2 linked regions of the Rattus norvegicus genome follow. The protein of the gene in region 1 purifies or fractionates together with the protein of each later gene. This does not show direct contact. Links are inferred from orthologs where the notes say so. Each region holds a gene or a part of one and is shown in the gene's direction. Other genes may lie near its edges.

What was found.
Region 2: the proteins of Rnf25 (region 1) and Ube2e2 purify together in Homo sapiens (affinity purification with mass spectrometry; 3 studies listed by BioGRID and IntAct, counting the BioPlex papers as one, with this or other methods). This does not show direct contact. The link is inferred for Rattus norvegicus from reciprocal best matches to the Homo sapiens genes RNF25 and UBE2E2.

What each region holds. Positions count from the first base shown.
Region 1 is NC_086027.1:83,623,142-83,627,538, reverse strand, and holds the start of Rnf25 (E3 ubiquitin-protein ligase RNF25), read left to right. Parts: upstream 1-1,578; 5' UTR 1,579-1,586; coding exon 1,587-1,627; exon of another isoform or gene 1,628-1,634; intron 1,635-2,216; exon of another isoform or gene 2,217-2,502; intron 2,503-3,984; coding exon 3,985-4,059; intron 4,060-4,257; exon of another isoform or gene 4,258-4,310; coding exon 4,311-4,397. UniProt on the Homo sapiens protein: E3 ubiquitin-protein ligase that plays a key role in the RNF14-RNF25 translation quality control pathway, a pathway that takes place when a ribosome has stalled during translation, and which promotes ubiquitination and degradation of translation factors on stalled ribosomes.
Region 2 is NC_086033.1:9,410,292-9,414,669, forward strand, and holds the start of Ube2e2 (ubiquitin-conjugating enzyme E2 E2), read left to right. Parts: upstream 1-1,328; 5' UTR 1,329-1,438; intron 1,439-4,378.

The sequences.
Region 1 (4,397 bases):
TGAGTCATTTCTGCTCCTGTGGGTAAACCCTCATTTATACTTGTTTAAGTAACCCCAAATAAAACACACATTCTCTCTCCCTCCCCTCTCTCTCTCTCTCTCTCTCTCTCTCTCTGTGTGTGTGTGTGTAAATACTTTAAGCTTTATCTCAGAGTGCCATGATTCAAGACTTTATACTTCTGGACCAACTCTTAGTATGAATGCAAACACATACTTACCCTCCCACCTCCACTTTCCCCACTAGGGGACTATGGATTTACTCTGGCTTTGTCAACCCATCACTGGGGGAAACAGTTACTGGCAAATAGATCCCTTTGATGGGACCCTGGCAGAGGTTTTCTGACATAAGCAAAGGACTCAGGTGAGATGTGGGGGAAGGAGAAAGAAGATGGAGAGATGGAAGGACTTCAAGGGGTCATCTTCGTAGGTCATACAAAGGACAGTTATAATTTTTGTCGTTCAGTAGATGTCAGGCATCGTATTAAGTGATTAAGTGTAAAGTACATTTAATCCTCAGACCCTATCAATCTTCCCCCAGTGTACAGTTTGGGGAAACTGAAGCATGGAATGGTTAGGTAGTTTGCCCCTAGTTCTAAGGCCGGGATTTGATTCCAAGAAATCAAATTTCTGAGCCTATATACCCTAGGAAGTATGCTGGAGTCAGGGTCTAGAAATATACACCGTGCAGCCCTTCTGTCCCAAGTCTTTACTGGACAAGTGGGTCACCAAATCCCACTTAAAAGATATCCTTGTTCACTACCTGAGCACTGTATTTTTTCCGGCCCTTATACACTCTCCCAAAAGAGCCTTCTCCAATCATCTCCAAAACGTGGTACTTTTCCATGGCAAGGGTTTCAGGGTCTCTCAGAAGGCAGAAAGAAGACGGTGACAAAGAGCTATAGATCCAGGGATGGTTCCACACATCTGGGAGGCCTGGCCCACAACATGGGAGAAAGATACACGTTATCAGCCTTGCTTTCTCCTGTTTTTCACAATAACCAAGGCCTCGAATACATGACCAGGGTGGAAAGATGATCAGGTCTTAGAATGTCTCGGGCACCCCCACCCAGGCTAGGTGCCCGGTGTCCCCTTTCCCCTCTCTAGCAATGCTCACCAACATGCTCCTTTTTTGCTCTCCCAAGTCCCTGATATCCTCAGCTGGCCCAGCAACACCACTCCGATCCTGACCCGAGGTCCCCTACCCTGCCCCCAGCCTAGACCTTCAAACTGCCCAGACTGAGGGCTGGTGGCCCTGGGCCTCTACCGGGGTCCCTCCCAGCTGCCTGCGTTACTTTTCTCCATTCCGTTGCAGCTCTCGTTAGTTTCCCACACTCTTACCAGTTTTACTCCCTGGAACTGGTCAGAAGTTTAGAGGACAAAGCTCTCAGAGGTGTGTGACAGATGCGAACCGCCCATTAGCACTTTCTAGGGCACTTCTGTCGCTTGGCTAGCAGACCCCACAAAGGATCTAGAGTCTGCAGTTGCCTAGAAACGGCGCCAGCTTTCTTTTACTCCGCCCCGCCCTAGTTTTCCGCCTCTAACTTCCCAAAAGGTGTTTCCGGTTCCGGCCAAGAGCCGGAGAAGACATGGCGGCGTCTGCGTCTACAGCTGCCGGGGAAGAGGACTGGTAACTTTGGGTCATAGGTTTTGGCTGGCTGCCTGGATCTGGTGCTGGGAGCTAGCAACAGCTTCGGACCGTCCGAACCACCGGCATAAAGGGTGGATCATAGGGAGAGGGATGGAAGAGACCCTGACATCCTTTCGTAGGCGAGCTACTGAACCGGGAACGGAGGGTGGAGGGACGCCGATCTGGGAAGGGACTGGGTCTACAGCGGCCTGGCCAGCTGGGCCCACGCCTTATCGACCCGATTGCCCACTCTACGGGCCTACCCCGCCCCACTTCTCCCTGATGTGATTTTCTGGGCACTGGAGGATGGTTGCTCATCATCACACCTCCCGCCTCTAGGAACGGACGCACTCCTCGTGCCTCTAGGACCCTGCCCCATGGACCAGACCATTTCTGTCTATGCGTTTTTCAATCTTCCCATATAACCAACAGCACTAATAACTATTGTCAGAAAAGCCTTACTCCCCTCATAAGATCTCCTACTCTCTCGAGCATTCTTAATAAGAAACCAAAAACCTTTAAGGATTTTGGATTTTGGACATAAGATAAAAATGTGCTCACTTCGTATTTAATTAGCTTGATGTGATGCCGACCAAACCAGCTAGCTCAGTGTCAGCTATTAAAAAAAAAAGTGGGTGTGGCATTACCTCATAGAGTACTTGGGAGGATCACTGTGGATTTGTAATATGCATAAGCCTGCTTCTCATTAATTGCCTAAGTATAAGACTGCGAGAGACTAAGGTAGCCCAAAGGACATCTGAGTTGAGGCCTTACACTGTTAGTATTAGGACAGCCTACTGTTGACCCCCATCTGTAACCTCTGACCTTATTTACTCCTAGTCTATATCTGACATCCAAGACTCAGCTGACCTAAGGTGGGCAAAGTACTGAAGGAAGTCTTACCTGCGGCTGCACCTCAGTGTTCTGTTGGTTTAGGGAGCCCAGCCAGACTAGTGCTTTTCAATGTTGGGAGGGACTTCTAACATATGAAGGGACACCTGAGCCATGACAGAGTAACAGTGTTTGCAGTAGTCTATAGTAGCCAGAATGTCTTATTTTTTTTTAAGATTTTTTTAATTTATTCATTTATTTTATATATATAAGTACACTGTAGCTGTCTTCAGATACACCAGAAGAGGGCACCGGATCTCTTTACAGATGGTTGTGAGCCACCATGTGGTTGCTGGGAATTGAACTCATGACCTCTGGAAGAGCAGTTGGGTGCTCTTAACCGCTGAGCCATCTCTCCAGCACGAATGTCTTATTTTTAATTTGTAAAATAATAAGTTTTGTATTTTAAGGTTTCTGCCTAAGGCTTAAGAATGCTAATAGTAACCATTACTGATAGAGGTGATAGTGGGGTGCGCGCCTTCTCGGTGGAGAGGAACTGTATAAGAAAGCAGATACAGATATATATATATATTCATTCACCTGGGTAGCGCTGTGGACAATCACTCTTCCTCGATGTTATAACCGCTGTTTTTTCTGTTTAAATGTGAGCCCACTGATTAATATCAGGACCACGAGCCCTGTCTTGGCCATGATGATCAGGACTAACTACACATCCTGGATCATGTGTATACTCGGGGTCCTCAAACTAAGCCCTTTTTCCTTTTAAGGGGGGGGGTCACTTAAACTAGATACTATGTCTTAGACATTGTGCAGTTTATATAACCAAATCATTTATACCTCTCGTAGTAGCCCTAGTGAGTATGCTGTATTATCACTAGGTGGTAGACAGTGTAACTCAGGCTTCTAAAAAAAGTAACCTGACCACATAGCTTGGTAAATAGTTTCTGCTCTACTATTTGCTACAAGGCCTATGACTCTTCTAATACAGTATAGCTTTTATATTACCTAGACCTGTTTAACTTGCTATGTCCTTTTGAGGATGTTTACACTGACTGGTGCTGGCAAGATATTGGCTGTAGCCAGAACACTGGGATCTGTGCTATACAGTAATATAGGTGGGCAGAAATAATATTGATAGCCTTGTTAATGAATGAATGTCAAATATGCAGGTCAGAGGGAAACCCACTAAAGGATAACCTACGCTGTAGAAATGTAAGCAGGGAGCCAGAACCTGCCTCTGATTGGTCCCATTCCTCCTGGGTTACGGTTTGGTTAGTTTTAATTCCTCTGGGAATGTGTTTTCTCAAGTTGGCAGTGTGATCTCCAAAACTTTAATTCCCATGCTTTCTACCTGGCTTGAAGAAACACTTCCCAGTTTTAAAGAATAATTTGGCCAGAGAATGTATTCAGGCAGATTTTTTTTAAAAAAAGTCAGTCTTCATCAGCCTTGGCAGCTTAGGTAGGGAGAATTGCAATGGTGATTCAGTCTCCCCGTTACTCTCCAGGGTCCTTCCCTCTGAAGTTGAAGTATTAGAATCTATCTATCTGGACGAACTACAGGTGATGAAAGGGAACGGCAGGTACGTATTCAGCAAGGGGCGGGCAGGGGTCTCAGTCGTGAGAGAATTCTACACAGAATCTGGACTTAGGGTACTCTGAGCCTTGCCTCAGAGGTAAAGTTTATCTACTATTCCTTTAAGCCTTCCTCCCCCAGCCCAGAGAAACAAGCCCAATGTGCATTCCTCTACTGCTTTACTCTCTCACCCCCTCCTCCCTAGCTTTCAAGCCCCTGCCTAGTCACATCCTGCGTCTTCACTTCATCCACCTGCAGATCACCATGGGAGATCTTCATCACTCTGCACCCTGCCACCGCAGAGGTCCAGGATTCGCAGTTTGTCTGCTTTACTCTGGTTCTTCA
Region 2 (4,378 bases), on another chromosome or scaffold:
CCTAAGGACAAAGGTGCTGTTATTTTTCCTCAGTGGTGAGTTCCAGGCTAGACACCATTAGCTGCTTGGGGCAGTTTTCAGTGACTTAATTAGTTAAAAGCCAACTCTTGAAGAATGCATCTCGTGGAAGCATTTTCTGTTCCAGAAGCCGGTTCTGGGTCTTGTATTGCTCTAGTCTCTGGCGTCTTTTTTCACTAGTTCTTGATTGACTCAGGGCTTCACATTCTCATGGTGGCCTATGGCCACCTGTTAGGTGTTAGGCTGTTAGGCTGGGTTCCCCATGGTTTCCTATGTATTGGCTATCACTGTTCAAGTGTCTTGGAGCGTAATGGGTCTTCCCCTCTCATCCGTGAGAATGGAGGTCCCAGCCCTTTCTGTTGGGCAGAACTACTGCATGGGCTCAACCGCTCCCAAGAATCCTCACAGAAGTTAAGAGTAGTCTTAGATCTTAGCTGTTATGATAGGCTGGAGGGCCGTGTGTGTGTGTGTGTGTGTGTGTGTGTGTGTGTGTGTGTGTGTGTGTGTGGGTGGTGGTGGTGGTGGTGGTGGTGATGAGGTGAGTTCATGGGTGCTGAGTTAACCCAGAATGTGCAATTTTTTCTTCAGTGCCTATTTTGGGCTACAATGACTGGGAAACCTGATATTCCTCAGGCCACTCACAGCACAGCTACTGTCCCACGCGGGTCTTTCAGTGGCAGCCTCCCACTCACTCTGATAGTGCTGCACCCTTCGCCCCGCCCCGCCCCGCCCTCCGCAGCCTCCCAGGGTGGCAGCCAGCATTCCTGGACAGAACTAGGCTCAGCAGGACCTTTCCTGCAGCAGTTATGGGGTAAAGCGAGGCTTCATCCGGGCCCACGCGAAGTTTCCCAACCGCGGGGCAGGTGGGTCCTGCACGAGCACAAGCTGGTGGGTGCATGGTGTGTGTGGGTCGGGGGGGAGGGGGTCTCCCTACCCTTCATCCAACTCCGCCGCACTGCACCCTCCTGAAACGCACCCCCACCCCTTAGCCCGCGTGTCCCTTTAATGCGTGTCCCTTTACTGCGCGCGCTCGTCAAGGTCCTCGCGTCCCTCCCTTCGCGCCGCCGTCGAGCCTCGATTTCCCTCCTCCATTTCCCTTCGCCCTAACCCGCCTTTACCGGGCCCAGGACTCAGCTGTCACTTTACTTTTGCGCGCGCACCTTACTGGTCCCCCCCGCGCGCGGGCACGCGCCGGCGGGGGCGGGGCCAAAGCGCGTCGCGGGCTCGCGGGCGCGGCACCGCGAGGCCGACGTGGGGCTCGCGCTGTCGCGGGCTCTCGGGGCAGGCAGGGCGAGTGCGCGCTTGGGAGGGGGCGCGCGCGGACGGCGGGCGGCGGCGGCAGCGGCGGCTCGCGGAGGCGGCGGCTTCACTCCCGGACTCGGCGTCCGAGCCGCGGCTGGAGCGCGGGCGGCGCCGCGAGGTGAGTAGGCGCGGGCGGGCGGGCGTGGCCGCGGCCGGAGCCCCGGCGTAGGGCGCGCGGGGACCCCACGCGGCGAGGGGCAGACCGGCGAGATCCCCGCCCCCGCCGCGGCCTCGGCTCGGGCGCGCGCCCGCGGCCCCGCAGGCCTCCCTGGCCCTGCGCGTGCCCGCTGGGGCCCGCGCGCCCCTCCCCCCTCCCGCAGAGTGTGGCCCTCCTTCGCCTTCGAGGACCTGTCCTCTCCCCTCCCGCGCCCACCGCAGCCAGGAACTAAGTCTCCGCAAAGTCCAGGATGGATGTCGCGGTGCAAAGTGCCCGGCTGTCCCGAGCTCTTCCCTAATTGCATAATTGCTACACGAGGTGTCCAAGCGGGCGAGGGCCCGCCCGGGAATACCGGCTGAGTGTGTGCGTGATGCCCCGGGGTGGGGGGCGTCACACTGGTCTTTTGTAATGCCTGGTGCTTGGCACAGTTTGGCTCCGAAGCCGGTTTTCCTCTGGCTTCTCTGCAGCCCCCACTGGCCTGATTGGAAACTGGATTCCCTCTGTCCCCCCACCCCCACCCACCCCCTTCTTTGCTCCTAATGTTTTGATCCATTTGCCTTTTTCCAATTCTAATGAACATAAAGCCTGGCTTCTTGCGTCTTTTCCCACGACTAACCAGAAATGCCCCATCCATCTTCCCTAAAGGAAATTAAGGCCGCATTAGAGAGACATCATCACCCTGGGCTTGGTGGCAGCTCTTGGACCCATTTGCTGGTTTGCAAGACTCTTATCGTCCAACCCTGCATTGTGTCATTTTGAGGGTCTACTCGAGTATTTCCATTTTAAAGTACAAAAGAATTTGCTAGGACTTGCCTCTGATTGCCTTACTGTTCAGAAAGATTTTTAAGAGCTCGTCTTAGTTTTAAATCCTTGCATTTTGAAAAACACGCTCTAGAGATGCGATAACCAAGTCCGAGTCTTGGGAATCTAAATATTTGTCTTTACTCAGGCAGTCAGGATGCTCCTGGGCGCTTTGCAGTTTCGTTTGTGTGCGATGAAGATGGAGTGTTTTCATATGCCGTACCTTGAGCTCTTTCCCCTAGGGCACAGCACTTCCCCCAGTCAGGTGCTCCACTTTTATTTTTCGAATAAATATCTTTTCAGTCACTTGGAAAGCTGGGTAGCGCTACATGATCGGCACATAACATACAACATTTCACGTTTTGGAAAAGTTCAGAAATCCCAAGTAGAGAAACCGGGACGTCAACGACAAGTTCACATTTTCCTGTCGGAGCAGCACAAATGAATTCTTGCTTTCCTGAGCTTTTGAAAATCTTGATATTTGGTGATTTGGATAGTAATGTGGACTGCAGTACTGTTGCTTTCCTCGCTGGGATTTGCAGCCAGATCCTTTAGTTTTTCTGAAACAGGCTACTTTCACTCTCTATGTGCTGGCAGGGAATTTCCAGAACCCCATGACATCACAGAGCGTATAGTCAACAAAGCTTAGAAAATGAGTGTTTCAATTCTTAAATGTAATGCATTTATGTTTAGTTAGGGACTACGGTTTGCTCTGAATCTGAAGTAAAAATACCACTTGAGGTGCCTTAAGTTCTTTGAAACTGTCGTTGGAGGATGCATTTGTGTTTAGTGAGATCCCTGGAACCTAGCTTCCTTCTAGATTAGGGAATTAGCTCTTTAGGAATTAATTTTAAAATGCTAGTAAAGATAATATGTGGAAGTTTTAATGCAGGAGCCTACTCATTTATACTTTAGAGAGACGAGACACCAATTTGACACAGAGTTAATTTGAATTATCTATAGAGGGTCTCCTCTCATATGAATTAATTGTCCCAGAGTACACGATCACGTTGTCCCCTTTTTTTCTGTAATCCAGCAGAGAGTCTCTTAACTTTTGACATTTGAAAATGGGATACAGAGCCTTTGTTTCTGAATGGTTTTTGTAGTGCTTATCAGTGGCCTCAGGAGGATCTGTCATTAGTAGGTAAAACTTTGGGTCAGATAAGGTATCTTAGATGAAAAGTAGAAACGACTTTTTTAAGCTGTAAAACTATAGAAGCGATGCTTCTGTTTAGCCATTTCAGAAGATTCTGGGGAAGTGTTCTGTATGGAACCCAGGCCTTAACATACATGCTTGGCAGGCGCTCTGGAACTGAGCCCCATCCCCCAGACCTTCAGTAGTAGTTTTAGTCCTTTACTCTTCTGGTCTTCTGCTGTAGTCATGGATGTTTCAGTTTCAGGTTGTAGCCCACTACATCACAGAGTGGCCTATTCAGTAACTGTAGAGTTTACACATTATCAGGTGTGCACATAAAGAGTATCGAAACGAGTGCGCACTTCACGACTGACTCAGCACACAGCAGTCATAGCCGTGGCCGCAGTGTAAGGGAGCCACTTTCCTGCAGTTCTGGTGTCTGCCGTGTGATGGATTGCCTCAGGTTTCAGATACATAGAACAGTTTCTCACTGATTTCACATCTCTTAAGAGTGCCCACGGTGTCCTGCCCCTGAGAGCATCTAATCCTAAGAATGCTTCTTTCTGTTTCCCTATACACCTGCTTATCCAGCAAGCTATAGGGTACCTACTTACAAGGCTTTTAACTTTAGGTATATTTTAGCTCAAAGAAGCAAGCTGAGAAAGAGTACAAATATTAAACCCAAGTAATGAGAAGGTTAAAGTCAAATAAGAAACCCTAAGAAATATGCTCAGACTTTTTGAGCTAGACGGGAAACATAACTGACATAAAATTTCAGTGTTCTATTAAGTGACTTTATTGCTCATAAAAGGTGTCTTAGCCATGGAGAATGATGCCCTCCATTTACAGGAGAGGTGGGAGCACAGGCCGGATGTCTTGTGAGTGTTTGACAGCTATTCAAACAGCCTTACTGTTTGTTATGAACAAAGGGACTAGGATGAGGGTGGTGACGTCACATGTAGTGT